2 linked regions of the Drosophila melanogaster genome follow. The protein of the gene in region 1 purifies or fractionates together with the protein of each later gene. This does not show direct contact. Each region holds a gene or a part of one and is shown on either strand. Other genes may lie near its edges.

Region 1 (9,242 bases):
ATCAGCTCTACCATGGGATAATCCGCGCCTGGATGTACTTCTTCAATGCTAATCCATCTGGGAGAGTGCTCAATCGATTCTCCAGCGACATACAGAATGTAGATGTGAATCTGCCACAGGCTATGATGGATTCCCTTCAAGTAAGTACACCTAGCTCAACCACTTCTTCTTTAGTCTCATGCAATTCTTAATCTTGTCCCTTAGTTCCTGGTAGATGTGGTGGCTGTGCTGGTGATCGTGGCCATCGCCAACTATTGGCTGCTCATCCCAGCAGCCATTATGGTTATACTATTGTATTTCTGCCGTGCCCTCTATATAGGCGCCAGTCGAAGTCTGAAGAGGATTGAGAGCTTAAGTAGGTTCAAATTTATCAGAATAATCTAGCCTTACTAACTTTTCTCATTTAACTTAAAAGCACGCAGTCCCATCTACTCGCACACAAACCAAACCTTCCATGGACACTCGACCATTAGGTCCATGGACGCCATGCCGCAGCTGGAACAGACTTTCCATGGCCACCAGAACACAAACTCCTCTGCCCTTTTTCTTTATGTAAGCGCCAACAGGGCGTTTTCCTTCTGGACCGATCTGATTTGCGTGATCTATATCCTGGCGGTGACCTTTAGCTTTCTGGTTATCAATCAGAGCTTCTACAGCGGTGATGTGGGTCTGGCCATCACCCAGTCCATGACATTGGTGATTATGTGCCAGTGGGGAATGCGCCAGACTGCCGAGATGGAGAACAATATGACCAGCGTGGAACGTGTGCTAGAGTACGCCCAGACGCCATCGGAGCCACCACTTGAGAGTCCAAAGAGTGTGAATCTTGCAGCTGAATGGCCGCAAGCGGGTCACCTTCGATTCCAGGATCTTCGCATGAGATATTCCCCGGGAGACGAGGATATTCTTAGAGGACTGAACTTTGAATCCCAGCCCATGGAAAAGATTGGCATTGTGGGACGTACTGGAGCGGGAAAATCCTCTATAATTCAAGCTCTATTCCGATTGGCTCTTAATGAGGGAACCATCGAGATCGATGGACTGGACATTGGTAAACTGGGTCTCCACGACCTGCGAAGTAGAATCTCGATTATCCCACAAGATCCGGTTCTGTTCTCTGGAACACTGCGCTTCAATCTGGATCCATTTGATGAAAAAAGCGACGAGTCCCTGTGGAGTGCATTGGATGACGTCAAACTGAAGAAGCATGTTGCCTCATTGGAAGGAGGTCTCTCCTGTCGCATGCAGGACGGTGGCTCCAACTTCAGCATGGGTCAGAGGCAGCTGGTCTGCTTGGCCAGAGCCATTCTACGACAGAATCGAGTTCTGGTCATGGACGAAGCAACTGCAAATGTGGATACAGAGTAGGTTCTTAAGATATTATTTTCATTTTTTTCGTAATTAACACTTTATCTCTTAGAACTGATATCCTGATCCAAGAAACCATCCAGACCAAGTTTGCTGAGTGCACGGTTCTAACGATCGCTCACAGATTGCACACTGTGATGGACAATGACAGCGTCCTGGTCATGGATGCTGGCCAGATTGTGGAGTTCGGAGCACCTCACAAGCTCCTGCAGCGCAAGGATGGAGCCCTTCTTAAGCTCGTCAATCAGAACGATGCGACCACCGTAAAGTTCCTCAAGAGGATTGCATCAGAGAGTTATATGCGCCGCAACAGAAGAGACTCCTTGACCATTTCCGAAGAATGAGCAAGGATCGCCAGCGGAAGCAGGATTTAACTTAAGCATCGCCATTGAGAAATTGTACTGCCGCGGAGAACAGTCAAATTCGGTTTTATTGGTACGAAAAGTGTACGATAAAGTGTATTTACATAGCAGTAGAATTACGCTAGTACTAATGATAGTTCGGCACTTAAAACGAGGAGACTCTGACACACGCGCGCACACACAAGATTACAACATAGATGTATGTATATATATATATATATATATATGTATGTAGGTAATATATCAAAATTGTAAACTTGATGGATAGCCTAAGATGATGGTAAACATTCCATTTAAAATAACATTAGGTATTGACATGTATGGGTAAAACTAGGATCAGAAACACTCTGATATGCTCTCGAATGAAAAGAAAACGTTCTTTATGTTAGCTATACAAATGCTATGGTATGTACAGAGAACGCTAGAAACAAAAATATATATATGGTCAAACCACATCCGCTTCAGCTTCTTCCTGCTATTCAATCCGAATACGATGCGATGCACGACGCAGTGCAGCGAACTCCTTGAAGACCAGTCGCCCCAGCAGCACCATGGCAATGATGTCGGCAGCGATGAGCATGTGGAAGACATACTGCCATCCGGCGGTGGAGATAAGGCCGGCAAGCAGTGGACCAACTGCCGCTCCGATTGACCCAGTACCATCGATAATGGCCGTCACCGTGGCCAGAGCATTGGCATTTCCCTCCAAGGAGCTGTGCTGGCCCAGCTCTGCACTTACAGAGGTTGTAATCAGGGCATATGGTCCGTTCACAAAGATGCCGACCACAATCAAGAGCACTATGCTGATTGTCATCGACAATGCACCATATTGTTGATACATCAGCAGCTGAAACGAATACATGTTCCTAGTAATGGTTTCTGTGGCTTGTCTAGAGTACTTACAATGGGCGAGGCAACGAACAACATGCCTGTGCAGACGGTGGCCGACATTCCGCTCACATCTGATAGATAGCCCGCAGCTATTGCACCCAAAATACCACCCACATCGAAAAGAGTGGACAAATCAGCGGACAGTTCTGGACCCAATGTGCCTGCATAAGAGGAATCGCTTTATTGACTGTTTTGTATACTATTTTCTGGGCACTTACTGGATTTTTGTATGTAAAGTGGCAGCCAGTACATGAAGGTGTAGCTCACCAGCTTGGTAAAGAACAAACACAGCGAAAACTCTACCACACCGGGTATGAATAAAGCATCGATCAGACTGATGGGACGTCCGCGACCCCTTGGCACCGCCTCTGGTTGAGATCGTGGAAGGATTGGAGTACGTTCGGTGGGAGCAGATCTATAGTTGATTTCCTAAAATAAAATAAGACGAATTTTTAAACTATTTAAAATGGAGTGGCGTGCAAAGCGCAAGATTTACATAAGCAAAAATGGCAGACATAACAAGAAAACCATGGAAATAGTCATGCACTTACAGTTCTCGAAGTTTCGTACCCAAAACTGATCACACACTAACGCCGAGCAAAGTACGTTTTTGAAATCATAATTGCAACATATTGGGAGACCGGGTGTAATGTACATCGCATGCGGAACATCAATGAAAAATCTGAATCTGATACTTACCGCATCGTTATGGCGCACCTGCTCCTCGTCGTCCTGTTCCACATCAGACTCGTTGGCCACGCGACGCTCATGCTGTCCGGCTTGTGGATAACAGCCCACAATCTCCGGCTGATCCACTAGGAAAAGGAAGAGTAAAAATCCAACGGCTGCAATGATAATGCCGGGTACCACAAACGACAGCGCCCAATCGGATTCCACATAATGCGCCGCTATCAGCGTGCCAAGAATGTTTCCAATAGACGTATGACTGTTCCATATACCAAAAATGAGCCCGCGTTTCGACTTTCCAAACCAACGACCCACGAGGGCCACTACACCTGGCCATCCGGTCGTCTGGAAGATGCCAGCGAATATTTGCACTATTATGAAATACCACAAACTATGGATATTGGAGGTGCGAGCAATGCCGAACATGTAAGTGAACACTCCGGTGAGGATCATGCCCATGGACAAGAAGTATCGCAGGGAAACGCGTTCCGCCACGAAACCAGAAGCGAACATAGCGATGGCATAGGAGAAGAGGAAGGCCGAGTCCAGCATTCCAAAGAGTGTGGTGGCATCGGGAACATCTGTAAATTGGCCACTTGTTTATAGGGTAACACGTTAGAAGTGTTAAGGGAAGAACTAACCAAAGGGCGCATATCCACAATCCTGACCCGATGCAGCCAGCGCTGTGGAACAGTTTCCTTGCAGCACCGACTTGACTACGGAGATGGGCTTGCGGCACATGTGATAGCAGGCGTAGGCCAGGAAAGTTAGCACAAACACTGACATCTTGTAGCTGAAATAGACATAATATCAATATCTACCCAATATAGTTATTCATAATATGGGGTCAACTTAACGCTCAGCACTCATTTGCAATGAAATCTTATATTTAGAAGTTATCGCATACTCACAGCAAATCTCTGCGGGCATGGAAGCGGGTGCAGCATTGTCGGGACAGCCGCTGCACAGCCCGGATGCCGAATGGCACGTCGTTGTAGTTATTGCTCATCTTTCGCGTTCTGCCCAATCCCAGTGAAGCTCTCATCGACCGGCGCGGACAGTGGGCGAGGTGCAAGTGCTGCTCGTCCAGGTGGCTGGGTTCCCGAATCCGTTTCGGTTGCGAGTAATGCCAGCTACCTAAAAGAACAATGATCAACAGGTAGGTGGTGAGTGATGTGGTGACTCAGTTCGAGATACATTTTCGGCTTTAAGGGGTGGAAGGTGCAGGTACAGCGGAGTGGGTTGCGGTTTCTGCTGAGGTCGCGGATAAAATTTCCGAACTTATCACCATACATATGTTTCTGCTCCCCAGTTTTCTTGTTTACGTCGTCGTTCCGCTCAAACAATGAAGCTTCGTATCGCAGTCGTAAAACGAAATGCGTTTCCGCTGGCTTTACTATTCTGCTGCGTTGGCGAAAAATATTCAACTTAGATAGTGTTTTGCCGTTTGTGATAAGAAACCGCACGTTTTTTATCTCAACGAACGCCGATCGTTTTATTCCTATACTGTTATCATAGAAGTCTCTTGTTTTTAACGTAATCCATCAATGTTTATTTACTTTTCTGTTCACTTGTCCTCATCAATTTACAGAGTATTTCATAGTCGACGCTTGTCGGATTTCTAAGTCTTTGTTTGTTGTCGCCACCAGATGGAATTTCTTGCGGAATCTAACAGATTGCTTGGGAATAAACACGGCGACATTGAAAAACAGCTTTAGCCACTTAATATTACCGTTAAACACACACTAAACAGCTGCAGTAAACATTACTCCGTCGGAAAATAACAAAATAAAGGTGGAGAAACATCGACTGCTGCCCGCGACTATCGATATGTGCTGCCAGTGTGACCACAGATGCTACGTCTTGTATATTTTAGTATGTTTCCAGAGCGGTATTGCTGGTTTAATTTTCTAAACTGCAGTTATATTTGAAAATTGCATTTGAATAATAATTACTTCAAGAGATCCTTTCTCCTTGGCTGTTTTGTATATATGTATATTTGTATTGAATCTGTGCATTTGCAAGCCACACGTTTAGGTAACGATTGGGATCCACCTACAGCTATAGATTTGGCTTATAAGTTTACTTTAGAAATTAGACGTTGACACTTGATCTCGGAATCGCATTTCCTGAGATCACTGGCTAATTATTTCTTTTGACACGCGACTGAATGAATAAATACAAATTACTCATTGTTGAAATTCCGCTTGTTGACAACAGACTACTAGCAGGGGAAAATACAACAGACCGCGTGCACATCACCTGGCTTTTCAATCAGACTCGACTGAGAGCGGAAAATGCTCTGGATTTTTCCACACTTATACGCTAATTTCCTCCGCTTCCAGTGCGAAAATCAAGGCGGGAAACAAGAACAATTGCAGGTGCTAATAACGGCGGGCAAAAAAACTTTGCCAATAGTATAAAATGTGGGAATTAGCCAAGTTGAACCACACTTAACAACCAGCAGTTCAGCAAAGAACAAGTCGATTTTATATCAGTACTTAAAATCTAAAAAACTTACCATTAAAATGCGTTGCAACAAGGTATGTTCGATTGGCAACCTTTAAAGTATTTGTTGCTAATATATGTATCCATATAATAGATTATTTTCCAACTTATTGCCTGTTTTGTGATCATTGAGCTTGTGCTCGGTTATCCCCAAGATCGTTTCACATCAGCGGAACAGATTCAACAACTAAGTGATGCCAATGAAGGGGATGCTCATCCAGAGATCTCTTCCAGCAGTGAAACCCTTAGAAATTTATACAGATACGAGCGCACTCTGAGCAGATTACGAAGAGCTCTGGAGGAGTTGGCCTATGAGGAGGCGGCCGATGATATGGAACTGGCCGAGATTAATGTTTTCCGGCCACTCTTCCGTTACCGATCTCAGGTGGTGAAGGTGAAGAATCCGCAGCAGCAGTTTGGTTAACTAAACTCTTTAGTCTTAAGATCATCGCCTCATCTAATGTCAATAGATAGTCATATGCCATTGATATCTTTTATACAAACCTAGCCTGTTAAGGAGTAATATAGAACTTATTTATATTGTTAAACATTTAAATATTTTATTGTTTCATTTGTTTGAGCCTACGCGCCTTGCAAATATACACACGTGATTAAGCATATGTACACACCGATCTATGTGGTTCTCATTAGAGTTAGGTATATTATTGTAGTTACTTTTCATGTTTCCACTTTGAGCACATTTACTTAAAGGCTTTTGTGGAGGACACGCGAATTCCTTGCATTGCACTATTTCTTGGAAGGATTCCTAATATAAACACACCGACACACACATACATATTTGACTAAGGAAGACACAAAGAATATTGACTGCTAACGCTACAATATAAATATAAATATAAATATATATGTATATATATATACGATGGATCATCGAGGGCTATTTCTTTTTTTTTATGTTTTTATTTTAAATCTGTCTACGCAGCTAGCTAACTCCCTGTAAGACTTCCCTAAGCTGCTGAAAACGAAAATAACAAAGTGCTGCAATCCGACTTTAACACATACTCTATATAAATATTATATGAAAATCGTTACTCTTCGGTTAAATATATAGTATATATAACTATCTTTTTTGCTGCGAACATTTTGCACACCTTTATTCTGCTTGTAAACAGCTAAGCCGCTAGCTTATGAAAAATATCGACCCCCCCCTCCCTCCACTTGCTCCTGGCTTAGAAAAGTTACTAAAGTTGCTAGTTAAGTACATAAGTAGTGTTGTTCTCTGTTCTGTTGTGTTTAGTTTAGTTTAGCTTAGTTAGGTTTAGTTAGAATTTTTGGTTTTGCTCCTTTCGCTTGGTTCCATTAAGTTGCTCATACGCATAGTCGCTGCAAGCGTTGCACATACATATGTACGTCCCTAGGTTTTACATTAAATTTGATTTAATTTTTGATTATCAGGCTTACGTTAGACACTACAAATAGCTGGCTGCACGCACACACACACACACACACACCCACTCCTCGGTATGCAAATGGCTGCTTACAGGCGAATTGGAGAGCTTCGAAATCTCGAAACCTGTTTACATATTAGATGAGCCCATCTGGAGCACTTAGAGATAAAGCTTTACACATACATATTCACATATCAACACACTTAGCCGCTAAGTACATATACTCGTATAGACCTATAGATTTTGGATCGATTTGCCCTTTTAGAGCACCTGCAGATTCTCGCAGTGCTTGAACTTGGAGTCCTCCTTGCCCAGGATCCAGGTGAGCATCTGGCGGGCCTTCATGCTGGCCAGCATCACGCTGCGGCTTTTGTACCAATGCGCCGGCGAATTGGCGTCCCTTGGTCCCTGAAATGGGCCAAAATATTAGATAAATCACATTTACTCTACTCTATGTATTCGCCAAAAGGAACAAATGCTTCACTTGGGTGGGCGGGGATTTACGGGCTTTATTTACATTTGGCTCTCTATTCAACTGCATTTTTATGGCCCTGCAGTTTTGTGGTTATTCCATTTTTGGGGCGCCAATTGAAGTTTGCATTTTTCATGTCCTTTGTGCGGATTCTGGGAGTGGGCACAGGATGATAAACAACAAACAAACAAAACACTTTTGGCAGTGTGCTTGGAATAGTTTCTCTACACTTGGACACTTGACACATTTTCTTCTTGTTGGCAAACAGGCACAAGTTCTTTTGGCGAAAGTTCAGGGCGCTTCTATATATATTATGAATACAATCAACAACGCATAAACAGGGAGTTATGGCTCGGATTTTATTGGATTTCACAGAAAAAGTATCTATAGGATACTTTTACAAATCTCCAAAAGTATTTTGGGGTTTTATAAGATTTACAATGTGTTCATTTGTTCATCATTATATTTTAGACACCAAATAGGATATACAGGGTATATAACTTCTATCTATAGAATCATGCTTGTTTCGATTACGGGTTGGGGTTTGAAGAACACACCGATTAAACATCGATTAGATTCAGTCCGGATAGCAGGTGATTTTAAATGGATTTTTAGTCGGGGGTACATTTAGTTTTACTTACCCCGTCGTCGGCTTTAAGATCAGTCAGACAGTTATCAGTTTCTACAGTCTCTATGTTTGTGTTTTCTTTAAATTTGTTTTTATCTTTATCTTTTGATTTTTTCGGATTTAGCTGCGAAAGCGATCGATGTACATTGATTACAAGACACCAAAAACAGAGATAGATGGGAGTACAACTAGCTAACCAGCAAACTAGAGCTATAGAGAGCTAGAGCTAGACCTATGGGTTTTCTCTTCTTTTTTAGTTTTGTTTGGGACTTTGAACATACCTGCAACTGAACTTGGTCCTTCTTGAGGCGAATCTGGGTGAGCGTGCCGGCCAGGAGCTCGTCGCAGTTGTGATTGATGCCCACGGAGACCTCGATAAACTTGGCTCCAAACGTGCAGGCCACGCATTTGCCATCTACGAAGCAGAATGGTGGAATGGTGGTGGATACGGATTCGGTCAGGTCACGCCACTTAATTGACGATGCAAATGAATGCAACGACTTGTCGGTAGTGGCTAATTGCAATACTCACCCTGGGCGGAAACGGCGCGTGAGCGGGCCAAATCAATTTTGTTGGCCACCAGGATGGTGGGTCGATGGCGCAGCAGGTCCATGTCCTGCAGTCGCGATAGTATCTGCTTGGCCCGCGTGAAGGACTCCTTGTCAATGCAGGAGTAGACCACCAGAAAGGCATCCGCCTGCTCCAGTTCATCCTACAAGGCACACAAAACAGCAAAAGCAAACACGGGCCAATTGAAACACGGAACTCAACAAGTTTACAACATTCTGGGCATCAGGCCTTCGTGACTGACGAAAGTATTTAATGCCCTGTTTTATTGCAACCCAGTGGAGGCGAAATTAAAAGTTCTTAACTGCGCACCGTCAAGTGCAGGCGTTGTGCGAAAAGTCGAGCATCCA
Region 2 (10,953 bases), on another chromosome or scaffold:
TTTAAGTTCCCTCTTCTTGACTTTCATCAAGCGCTCATTGTGATATCCACTGAAACTCCGACTTTAATTATGATTTAGCCATTTGTTAATTATACTACACATATGTATGCGTACTTGAAAGTGAAACAACACACACCAGCCGAACGAAGGAGATCGCAGCTCGAAATCGTCAATTGAATTAAAGAGCTACGACAATCTAAATCCGCGTTCCACTCGCGCACCCGGATTCCGCAGACTCGTCCGGCGCGAGTTTCGACTTCCAACTGGCAACGGAAGTTAGCCACTTGTTGCTCCGAGCCACTCTGTCGGAGCTTTTATCCGCTCCGGAGCTTAAAGCTCTCCAGCGGAGCGGTTACAACAAGATTCAGATGCGAAGTCGGGGGATTTATGCACTCGGGTTCATAATTATGGTAATCCTTGTGGACATGTGTCCTTGTTTTCATAATCAGTACACCTATAAGCATTAAAGTGGTAACTTTAAGCAAAAACTTTCTAATTTGCATAGAAATATTCTGATTCTATATATTGACAGGATACACATCTTTCAGGCCAAAAATATGGTTAGCATTTTGCTTATCGCAGATATAGAATACATCAGTTTGATTAAACAGCATTATACTCGATCCGCGATGATCATTAACACCCTCCAATTTATGGCAGCAAGCCTCTGGTTATAAATCATAATCGCCATAGTTTAAATCAGTGACCAGTTATTATAGGTGCATTATACTTTTAACCTATTGATCTTTAAAATCATGTTAATCCATTATTATAGGATCAAAAATGCAGTAGAAAGCCTTAGGTAAAAGTCGTTGTGGTTTTTGTATACTGATAATAATATGGTCATAAATCAAACAGCTAATTGCATTGTGCAATTTATACAGGTATATTTGTGAAGTAATACCGCCTGCGGTTGTTGCTAAAAGATTCAGAGACGAAACTTAAGGATTAATAGCGCTATATATTCTGTTTATATAGGTGTGAGTCTCTGGGCAGCGTGCAGGTATGTCTGGTCTTAAATCAAATCACAGCTAAATGCATGGGCAACGTTATAGCTAATTGCATTGTCAAAGTCATAGCATTCCGTCCTGTCTATGGCGCAATCTCGCCTAGACCTTCTCGATCTGAACGAATCTCTCGCGCTGATACTGGTCACTGTAGCCGGCGATGAACTTGAGCCGGCCCTCGTACTTCAGATTCATAATGGTCTTCACCATCGGCGGGTGGTCGTTGCCCAGTTCCAGCCAGAGCTTGCCACCGGGACGCAGGTGCCGACAAGCCAAGTCGAAAACCAGTCGAGCCACCCTCAATCCATCGGACCCACCGTCCAGGGCATTAAGGTTCTCATACCTGGGGATATAAGATAGTTAGTGCACTGCATCCATCTGGTATAACATCACTTACACCACGACTTCGGGATGCAGAAACTGAAACTCCTCAGTTTTCACATACGGAGGATTGGAGATGATCAAATCGTACTTCTTGTCCTTCAGCGCCTCCGGCAGGTACTTGTCCTCCTCCATGGTGTGGTTGTGTACCTCAAATCGATTCAGCAGCCCCAGCATTTTGGCATTCTCCGCAGCCAGAACGGTTGCCGCCTTGCTACGCTCAATGGCAGTGGCCACCACCTGCGGCAGACTGTGTAGCATGGACAAGGACATGGCGCCCGAGCCGCAGCCCACCTCCAAAAGATCGACGTGCTTTGCGTTCTTGTGATCATCGATCACCAGGCGCATAAACTCCTCCGTTTCGGGGCGTGGAATGAAGACCGACGGCGATGTCTTCAGCGTAATGTCCATGAAGTCCCACTCGCCAATGATGTGCTGCAACGGCATGCGGGCACAACGGGCCTCCAGGAAGCGCTCGAAATCCGCCAGCTGGCCGGGATTTAGCTGCAGCTGGTCAAATGAGTCAGGAACCGAACTCTACGGAACGTAAACATGGTTAGTGATGTTGATAGCCAGCTTTTCTCACAGATACTTACAAACTTCTGCTTCAGGACATGCGACACGATGCATTTCACGTTGAACTTCCTGTCCTCGACGCCGGCGGCCTTGAGCTTTTCCTCCCACTGTCCAATTTCCAGGGCCTTGGTCACGGGAATGTGGGTGCCAGCTGGGGCATTTGTGCCATAGTTGACCTGCTTAAGCAGCCGCGAGGTCGGGCCCATTGACCGTGTCAGTTGTCTGAGCATTATTTCACTTATTATCTAATTGCTATTGATTAACAACAAAATTTTGACGACCCACTGCCTGCAGTTCGTTCCAGCGTGACCGTTTCTCGACCGTTACAATAAACCAGTGGTCGATATTTGAAAAGTGTTCACGCTTCAAGTGTTACCGTAGAGCGGAATAGTGTGACTTAATTTTCGAGTTCTTGGCGGAAAATTTAAACATGCAACATAATTAGGTTGTTCCAATTAAATGGAAAAGCAATATCAAGTGTTCACGCACTGATTGCAGTCGGCCCTTTTTGTTTATTGTTGCGGAAATAGGTCTATTAAGCATAACAATATGAAAAGGGGGAGTTATAATGGTGAATTATAATAATATATGTATGTATGTACATGAATAAAATAACTGTAAGAGAAAGTAGCAAAGCTCGTTAAGCTTTTTAATACTTTTTTTAAGAATATTCCTGACTAGCTTGGTCTAGTTTAATGTAAGTCCCTAGTCTGAAACGTAGGAAAATAGCTAAACTACTACTGGTCCATCAATAATCAATGCAAATTAGAACTGGTTTGAAGCATATGAGCTCTGACGTCTATATAATATGTAAATTTTATAAGAAACCAAGAGCATTACATAATCAGATAGATAGTTAATATATTCTGAGATATTCTGGATACAAAAATAATGACTTCTTAGCAAAAGAACTTCCAACTAAATGGGTTTACATAGTTAAGGTAACTCTTTTCTTTAGAACTCAAGTTGGCACGAAAACAAGAGGTTTGTTTGCCCAGCAATTGCTTTTATATGATTAGTCCATCCAACAAGACATTTCCCTGATATCTATTTAACAACCTTGTAAATAGAGAATGGCGCTTGTTCAAATATGGGATTGGTCTAGAGTATTTCTGCAAAAGATCCATTGCTTGACCAAGAAGTGAAAATTCAATCGCTTGGCCGTACTAATAATTTTTGTATTTTACAACATATTAAAATATTCATATCATTACATGTTCTATATATTGTATATATTCACATTACGATTGCACAATTATTTCAAAAACGAAAAATAAATCAACGGACACAATAGGTAACAAATTTTTACAAGTCTCCTTTAAGTACTGAAATCAATGGAATTTCCGTGCACTAACTACAGTTTGGGGAATCATAAAGTTCATCAACGGTATACGAAAGATTTACAAATAATCGAAACGACTACTATCCGTCCATCAGTCTATGCGTCCATGCAGATCCCCTACATCTTAAAGGTGTCCGTGCAAGGGATCGCGGCTGTCCCGCAGGTAGACGGGACTGGTGAACGACTTGCCCTCCACATGCGAGGCGAGATTCTCGCCGGCGTAGGTGACGAAGGGCGAGATCTCGCAGACTTCGCCATGCACAATGCCACCGGCGCCTTCGATATACTTCTTGTGCAGGCGATGGAGGTCCGAGCGGGCAGTACTGGGGCAATCCTTGCCAGCTGCATCGGAGTTCTTTAGCGCGCTGAACTCTTCGTCGCGTGGCACTTCCATGGCCACGAACTTCTGGGCGAACTCGAAGACGTCAAAGACAAACTTCTCTATCTTGATGCCGTTCGGCTTGTCGGGCGTTAGACGCTTGCCGGCGTTGTCCACGAAGGGAATCTTCTTCTTGGCCACGTGCAGCTTCAGCTCCTGCTCGTATGTGCTGCCAATCTTCTGCAGGAAGTTCGAGCTGAAGAAGTGATTGCAAATGTTGCCAGCACTGAAGGTCAGCCTGCCGTCTGAATTGCGCATCTCGGCTGTTTTGGCCGAGATTTCGCTGTACTCCACCACCTGGTATTTGCCATCGACAATGGCCACCACGCCCACAGCCTCGTTGGGAGCTGCCTTCTCCACCACCTTAGCGGCGCAGTCGGCCTTCTCCTGCACGCAGTAGCCGATAAAAACGGGATCGGCCACCTTGATCAGGATGTTGTCCACGCTATGGGCATGCAGATATAAGACACCACGCTTCTGCATATCGTCCAGAATCCCCTGGCGCTTCATAGCCCGATAGATTCCTCCGTTGCCGTCCGGCGCACGCGCCACCCGATGCTTTTCGTCCAGAATGATGCGTCCATCGTATTCAAAGCACGGCAGTGATCCCTGCTCGAACAACAGTACGTTCTCCGCCTTCAGGCCAAAGAAGTTATTGGCCACAAAGTAGTCGTATGTGGGTTGCACCGTGTGCTCCGACGTCATGATGTACCAAGTGATGTGTCCACGTTTTCCATTCGCCTCTTGGGCGAGCTCCTCCAGCTTCAGGATTCGCTCGGCCTGAATGCGGAACAGGGTCTTTCGAGACTGCAGTCCCACATCGTACATTCCCTTGGGATGATCGAAGCCAAGTCGTGTGCCTGCAAAGAGAAAGGACAACATTACGAAGGTTTCCACCAATACAGTTCCCCAATATAATAATTATTGCAGTATGTATATAGATAACAATTCCTGAATGTATTAATCACTTGTTAACGACAAGAACTGCTGCATTTTTTATATCTCACCCGGCTGACCTTAAAAACAAGTTTATTTTCGACCATCGTTTCGCTCTTTAGGTTGTCTTTTGTCTGCGCCTTTTTTAACATATATGTATATAAGATACAAGCTGGCTTGTTTAAGGTCAGTTCCACTACCGGTTTCAAAATGATCTGACTACATTTAATCTACGGCTTATCGGTACAGCAAACGGAACCTCCACTCCTGACCAGAAATTCTCAGAAATCAGAAACCGTTATCTAGGTTCACTACTTATGACTCTTCTCGAATTTGAACGTGCAAGAAATAATGCTATGAGCAATCGGTGTTCAACTCCGTTTCTTGGTTTCTCAAAAGACAATTACGTGATTGGACTCCAGCGTTTGCCCAAGAAACTGGTAAGGAAATGTCAAATGCCGCCCACATTTCAATGTTTCGATTCGAAAGAGCACTGGCCCCGCCTGAAATCAAAATGAGAAAGGCAAGTCTGGGGCTGTAAGAATGCCTTCCACATTGCTGCTGGCCTGGCGTGTTTCTTAGTTTTATACGCTTTTTGTCTTGCAAACGGAATTACAATTGCAATTATTACAATGCAGCTGCATGAGTGGGCAGCTGATTGGGATTGCGTGTATTTGTGAGCACTTTTATATCGAGTTAATTAGCTTTTATAAAGCACACACACTCTGCGAATGCTCAAGTTTCTGTTTTAGTTCGGCTTACACTATGTTTTTTGCTCGCAAAGGCGCAATTTTTTTTTTTGATGGGTAGCCGATTGGGGCATGATAAAAATATCTCAACTTGTACGGTATCTAAGGAAGTATCTTTCAGAGATACAAGCAAATGTGAACTCTGAAACGAACGAACTATGAGTGCAATGGAAAATTTCTTTACTTGTAGCCTTTGATTTGTATATATTTTGATTTTTAAACTGACTACCATATCGTGCTCGCGCATTGGAAACGTTAAAAACCATTATGGTAAGTCTCAAAACGAAAATCGTTCATTTTCGAATAACCTAATCGTTTTTGCTATCAATGATTGACGACTTAAAATCCATTGCTATCTGAAGTTTATATAAACGCCATACAACACTACCAACTGGACCCACAAAGGTCTGTCCCACTTCCAGTGCGTCAAATTGCTCCATAATCACACTATTGACTTAAATATGCTACCAACTAAACACAGGTGTACTATTTCCCTAGCTATTATTCTGTTTTTTCTGTTAAATTAGAGAAACTCCAGCTCACCTTGTCCGCCTGCCATAAGCAGCACAGCGACATGTCCGTTGCTGATCTGGAGGAGACCCTCGTCTCGGTAGGCGTCCAATTTCTCCAGCGGCGCCCTGGCAATGGAGATTAGCTTGCCCTCGGGCAGCGGCTGCAGGCGATCGTCCAGCTTGATGCCATTCTCGTTCATTGAGACCGTGGCGCGGTCGAAATACAGCTTGATCTCGTCCAGATTCAGCTCCTCGATGTCCCGCACCAGGTCGATGCGTTCGTCATTCGTTAGTTCCGGCCAGAACTTGAGCAGGTGCTCCTGGCCCACCTGGGCGAGTCGCGAGTGCAGCGACAGGTAGTCCGTCATTGTTGGCGAAGTTTTGGCTGCGTTTGGTGATTTTGATGTGGCACCGCCAGCTGCAAGAATCCAGAGACAAGATATTTGACTAACAAATTATAAACAATAGAGACAAAATATTATTACGCGGTATCCTACTTAATACGTTATATTCTTCACCATAATTTTGGAACATTTTAAATGCGAACACACAGTTAAAAACAAGGTTTTATCTTTAGAGATCACATTGGAATCATATATTAATTGCTGCTATCTGTTTGTTAATTCAGCTAATGGAACGGGCTCTCCCGAAGGTGTGTATTTACGTTTCTCTCCGCTGGCTGACTGATTATTTGGCGAATGCGGTAAAAAGACAGTGGTCGGGTTGTCCGGGCTTTGTTGCGTTCCGCTATACGTGGTAACCAAAGCGCAACTGAGCGCCAAGCGATCGCCCTCAGTGGTTTTTCTTGCTCAAAGTGGAGCCGTCAGACAACCACCATCGCCTTCGCCTCCATCTGGTTGTGTCTCTGTGGGAACGCCTGAATATCTGAATGGCAGTAGCTCGTGTGCAGGTTATATTGGTATCTGGTATTTGGGCGCGAATGTGTGCGAACGTGTGTCTCTTAACGTATTTGCAGCCGCGTTTTAACATGGCCACGCCAGTTGTTTTGGCCATACCCTGTAAAAACCTGAAGGGCGGGATCGCGATCATGGCGGAAAATGTGCCCAATCAATCACAGTCTCTTTTTGGTATTAGATACTACATTGTTTAATTATAATCTGTTTCAGAAAGCGAAAGAGAAACATATTCCTTATAGGTGAAACGTAAAAGTTATAATTATAATTTAACAGCTTTGCTTCGTATTTCTACATATGTAGATATAAATATTTGTATGTATGTACATCTGTTAAGTGATCTTAATGAGCTCAACCTTGTTTTTATTAAAATTGAATAAGAGGAATGCGGGAATTCCCAACGACTTAAGACTTAAGAACATGTAACTTGTGAGTGAGGGTATCAATTAGTCGTGTCTGCGGTCGGCTCTCTTGATTACACGGCTGATACGGCTACTGGGACTGCAGCAATTTCAATCGGATTTTCGCTGCTTGGCCAATTCGCCAAGCAGCAGCGTGTTGCAAATGCAAAGCGAAATATCAGAAACCGAAATCGAATTCGAAACCAAATGGCCCTGAACACGGGCTTTAGTTTTAGTGAAAGTAAGAGGTGCCACAGTCCAAGAAACGCCAGCCACAAGGAAACTCCTAAGGGCGACACATATTTATATATAGTTCATACAGTTCAGTTCCTGATAAACGGGTTACAAACTAGTTGAGTGGGTTATCGGGATTTGTTGGAAAGGTTATGGCATTAAGGCGAGCCAAGAACTGACAAAAACATGGCAAAACTAAGTCGGTGCTCAGCCGGTTTATTCGGTTTTAATACCCATTAACTTAAGCGCAATGGTTTATATTAAATATTATGGAATGGAAAAGTAAGCGCAATAATAAGGTATCAACAAGAATAACAGTAATTGAAAAATATCACCATTATATGCATCTTTATAAGATAAGATAAGATGTCATATAAATAAAAATGTATAAATGTATAACAAATCAATATATATCTATATCGATTTAAGGAAAACGGGGTAAAAAATACATTTAAGGAGTGATAAGAGGGTATTTTACATTCGCTACACTGACCATTATTGTTGTTTTTGCCACGAAGCAAAACACTTGTCTGCATGTATGAGTGCGCATAAAAAAAAAGATAAAGCTGCAGCAACAAAAACACTCCCCGCACACACACACACACACACAAGTACCCAAAAACGGAACAAAACAGCGATAGCAAGTAAGTTGTTTACATACACCCACTGCTGTGTGTGTGTGTGTGATTGTGGGCTTTCCGCTTTTTTCTTATCGCAGCTCTGGGCTCCAACTATTGCGCTACCATTATCAGTTTGCTTTTTCGAGTGGGTTTTTACCAACTAACCATTGCGGTGGCGCCTCACATGAGTCTGCTGGTGATGCGAACTGAAGTTGCTGCGACCCATTTTGTCTGGGAACACCCTGTATTACTTTTGGCTCCACTTCACTCCGTGCGAATTGTTTATGCAGTGACTGTGCCTCGTCCGTCGAGGATTCTATGGCATCGTGCTAGTCCTGACGAGGTTTAATTCACACTGCGTGCGGCTGTTGATTACATGGGCAAACGGAAAATGCACAATCCGAATGAAACAGTCTCCCAAGAACTGGGCGGAGAATCGATATCGATTACAAGCGAATCCAGCTGGCCGCCAGTGTGACCGTTGAGGGGTGGGCGTACTACGCTGGGCCATCGAAAAAATACCAAGTGCATAATTCGAAAAATATTAAAAATTAAATACAAAAACATACAAAGAATTATTATTAAAACTTTATTTTTCGAAATTTTTGAATTTTTAAATCTATTTTATAATGTCAGACTTTATTTTACCATTTTTCGTTAAAATTACTATAGTTAAAAATTTGTTAATCTGGCATTAATTGACGTTAATTAAACATTCTGAATGAATGTTTGTTCGGTAAAATGGCTTAATCTTTATATATACGCGTATAATGAATGTACATTTCTTAAGAAAAAATCTTTGCTTAGAAGTGGATAGTAAAATATTGCAAACACATATATTAGCAATTTAAAAATTTTTTTTAAAAGTAGTAAAGGCATGAATGGCATATGAACGACCCCACTGCAATTGTTAGTAATTCGCATACGTTTTCAGCATTCATAAGCTTTTCGAGTCAGAAACAACGACATTTTCGGAGTTTTAAATATATTTACAGTTATTAACTAAATAAAGCATCATTTTCAATTACATGTAAGGACTACAACAGAAAGTATGCATCTATGTAAGGGCTCTAGTATTTTCATAACGCCCGGAAGGTATTGGTTTAGGCTGATCTCATATTACTCCGCCGCTCCTAGCAGCATGGCCGGCGGTGTGCGCAGCAAGCAAGCGTAAGTCTACAGGACACTACGAAACACACGAACGGTAATTACAAAATGGGAACACTGATGGGGGGTACGTACTTGATGCAGAATCATACAAAACATGGGCGTAAATCATTAGATCATTCGTTTAAATATCAAAAATTCATTAATATATGCATAGAATCACTGTCTAGGCCATCGAAGACGTGGTTGGTACGTCGTCCAGGTTAATAAGGGTCGCCTCGACACCTCCGCTGGAGGAGGATTCAGCACCTTGACCCGGAACATTACCCTCCTTGGGCGGTGGCGCCGGCATTGGTATTGCAATCGGGCTCATGGTGCTGATCATGCGCGGCTCCGCCCGCGACGTTGTGATGGGCAGCTGGCTGGCGCTGCCGGTGGACTTCAGGAAGTCGGGCTGCGGCATCTGAGCAGGACCGGGCCCATGACTGTGTCCCGCTCCATGACTATGACTATGGCCCGCTCCATGGCTGTGACTGTGGCCAGTGCCGTGACTGTGATGCTTTTGCTGCTGGTGCGGCGCGTGCTGGTGATGATGATGTTGCAGCTGCTGCTGCTGCGGGAACGACTTGGGCAGCTGGGCGTGGCGGCTGGAGTCCGTGGCCTTTAGGCGCTCACTTAGCGCCTTCAAGGCAATTTGTCTAGGATCGAAGAAAAAAAATCACAATGTAAACATTATAATTATTTAGGCTAATGCAAAAACTCTTATCTAATGAGCAATTATTAGCCTGTTGTGATTAAATGTTTAGTGGCTCTTTAGATAAGCGTACTTAAATTGATATCGAGACAATCCAGTTAAACTGCTAGCTTACTTACCGCCTTCTCTCAATGTCATGCGGATCCACTCCCGGCATTTGCACCGATACCGACGTCAGGCTGGCCGTAGATATCGTCCGCAGCGGCGTGGGCGTCTTGACCACGCCCGCCCGCAAACAGCAATTGTAAATGGGATTAACCAATACGCTGATAAACGGCTGTGATACGTTTGGGAAGAAGCTGACGAACGTGAAGCTCTCCGAGCTGTCGCCACGCCCATTGGGATGGTGTTGATAGAAGCGGAGATAGATCCAAGAAACCAGCGATCCGGAGGCGAACATAGCCGGATAAGTGCCATCTAGCAGGCCAATGGCCCACAGTATGATGGCCATGATGAGCACCGTGAGGGGAACGTTCCTGAGTAGTAAAGAGTACATTTGTATATTCAAGTGGCGGCTATGATTCAGGATTTACTTTGAGAAATACAATATAGTATCTTAAACAATGGTGTGTTTGTTATTATTTACAAAGTATCATTTCATAGAATTCTCGAGGGTATTTACTTGCGCGTTAGTAAACCAATATTTATTGAACTTTGACCCAAAGTTAAAGGGCTGATGAGCCAGTAAATTCTATTCAATTTATTGAGCTTGCGCCCATTTAAATCTAGGGGCAGAGTATGAAAAATTACCGCTCTTTGATTCTGTGAATGTATCTTTTTAGGTTTAAAGCCATATTTGGAAATAATCGAGAGATTTCTAAGACTAAACTTTCTAAAGCGAGCTCTTAGCTACCGTGTGACTCTGAAATGGAAACATATCAATCAATTATCTCACCTATTGGTCAGACGTCCGTAGCGCGTCTTGAAGATCAGGTGATCGGGCATTATCTGGCGTACGGCTACGCAGATGCCAGCCACGTATCCGGCCAGGCCGTGAATGTGCACCTCGAAGAGAATGGTCGGGTTCTTGGTGACCATGTA

What was found.
Region 2: the proteins of MFS16 (region 1) and mmy purify together in Drosophila melanogaster (affinity purification with mass spectrometry, with the first as the bait; one large-scale study listed by BioGRID). This does not show direct contact.

What each region holds. Positions count from the first base shown.
Region 1 is NT_033778.4:21,278,190-21,287,431, reverse strand, and holds MFS16 (major facilitator superfamily transporter 16), read right to left. Parts: upstream 5,135-9,242; 5' UTR 4,890-5,134; coding exon 4,868-4,889; exon of another isoform or gene 4,602-4,867; intron 4,595-4,601; exon of another isoform or gene 4,446-4,594; coding exon 4,220-4,445; intron 4,102-4,219; coding exon 3,950-4,101; intron 3,890-3,949; coding exon 3,321-3,889; intron 3,051-3,320; coding exon 2,840-3,050; intron 2,783-2,839; coding exon 2,634-2,782; intron 2,578-2,633; coding exon 2,206-2,577; 3' UTR 1,753-2,205; downstream 1-1,752. Other genes in the region: CG10505 (uncharacterized protein), read left to right, coding at 1-140, 205-355, 416-1,364, 1,421-1,712; CG34203 (uncharacterized protein), read left to right, coding at 5,837-5,851, 5,911-6,240; Rgk3 (Rad, Gem/Kir family member 3), read right to left, coding at 7,487-7,633, 8,339-8,449, 8,607-8,740, 8,857-9,037.
Region 2 is NT_033779.5:6,465,415-6,476,367, forward strand, and holds mmy (mummy), read right to left. Parts: upstream 8,491-10,953; 5' UTR 8,278-8,490; coding exon 8,217-8,277; intron 6,659-8,216; exon of another isoform or gene 6,547-6,658; intron 6,301-6,546; coding exon 5,914-6,300; intron 4,546-5,913; coding exon 3,431-4,545; 3' UTR 3,177-3,430; downstream 1-3,176. Other genes in the region: HemK1 (HemK methyltransferase 1), read right to left, coding at 1,110-1,350, 1,405-1,925, 1,985-2,194; CG9536 (uncharacterized protein), read right to left, coding at 9,385-9,856, 10,032-10,388, 10,808-10,953.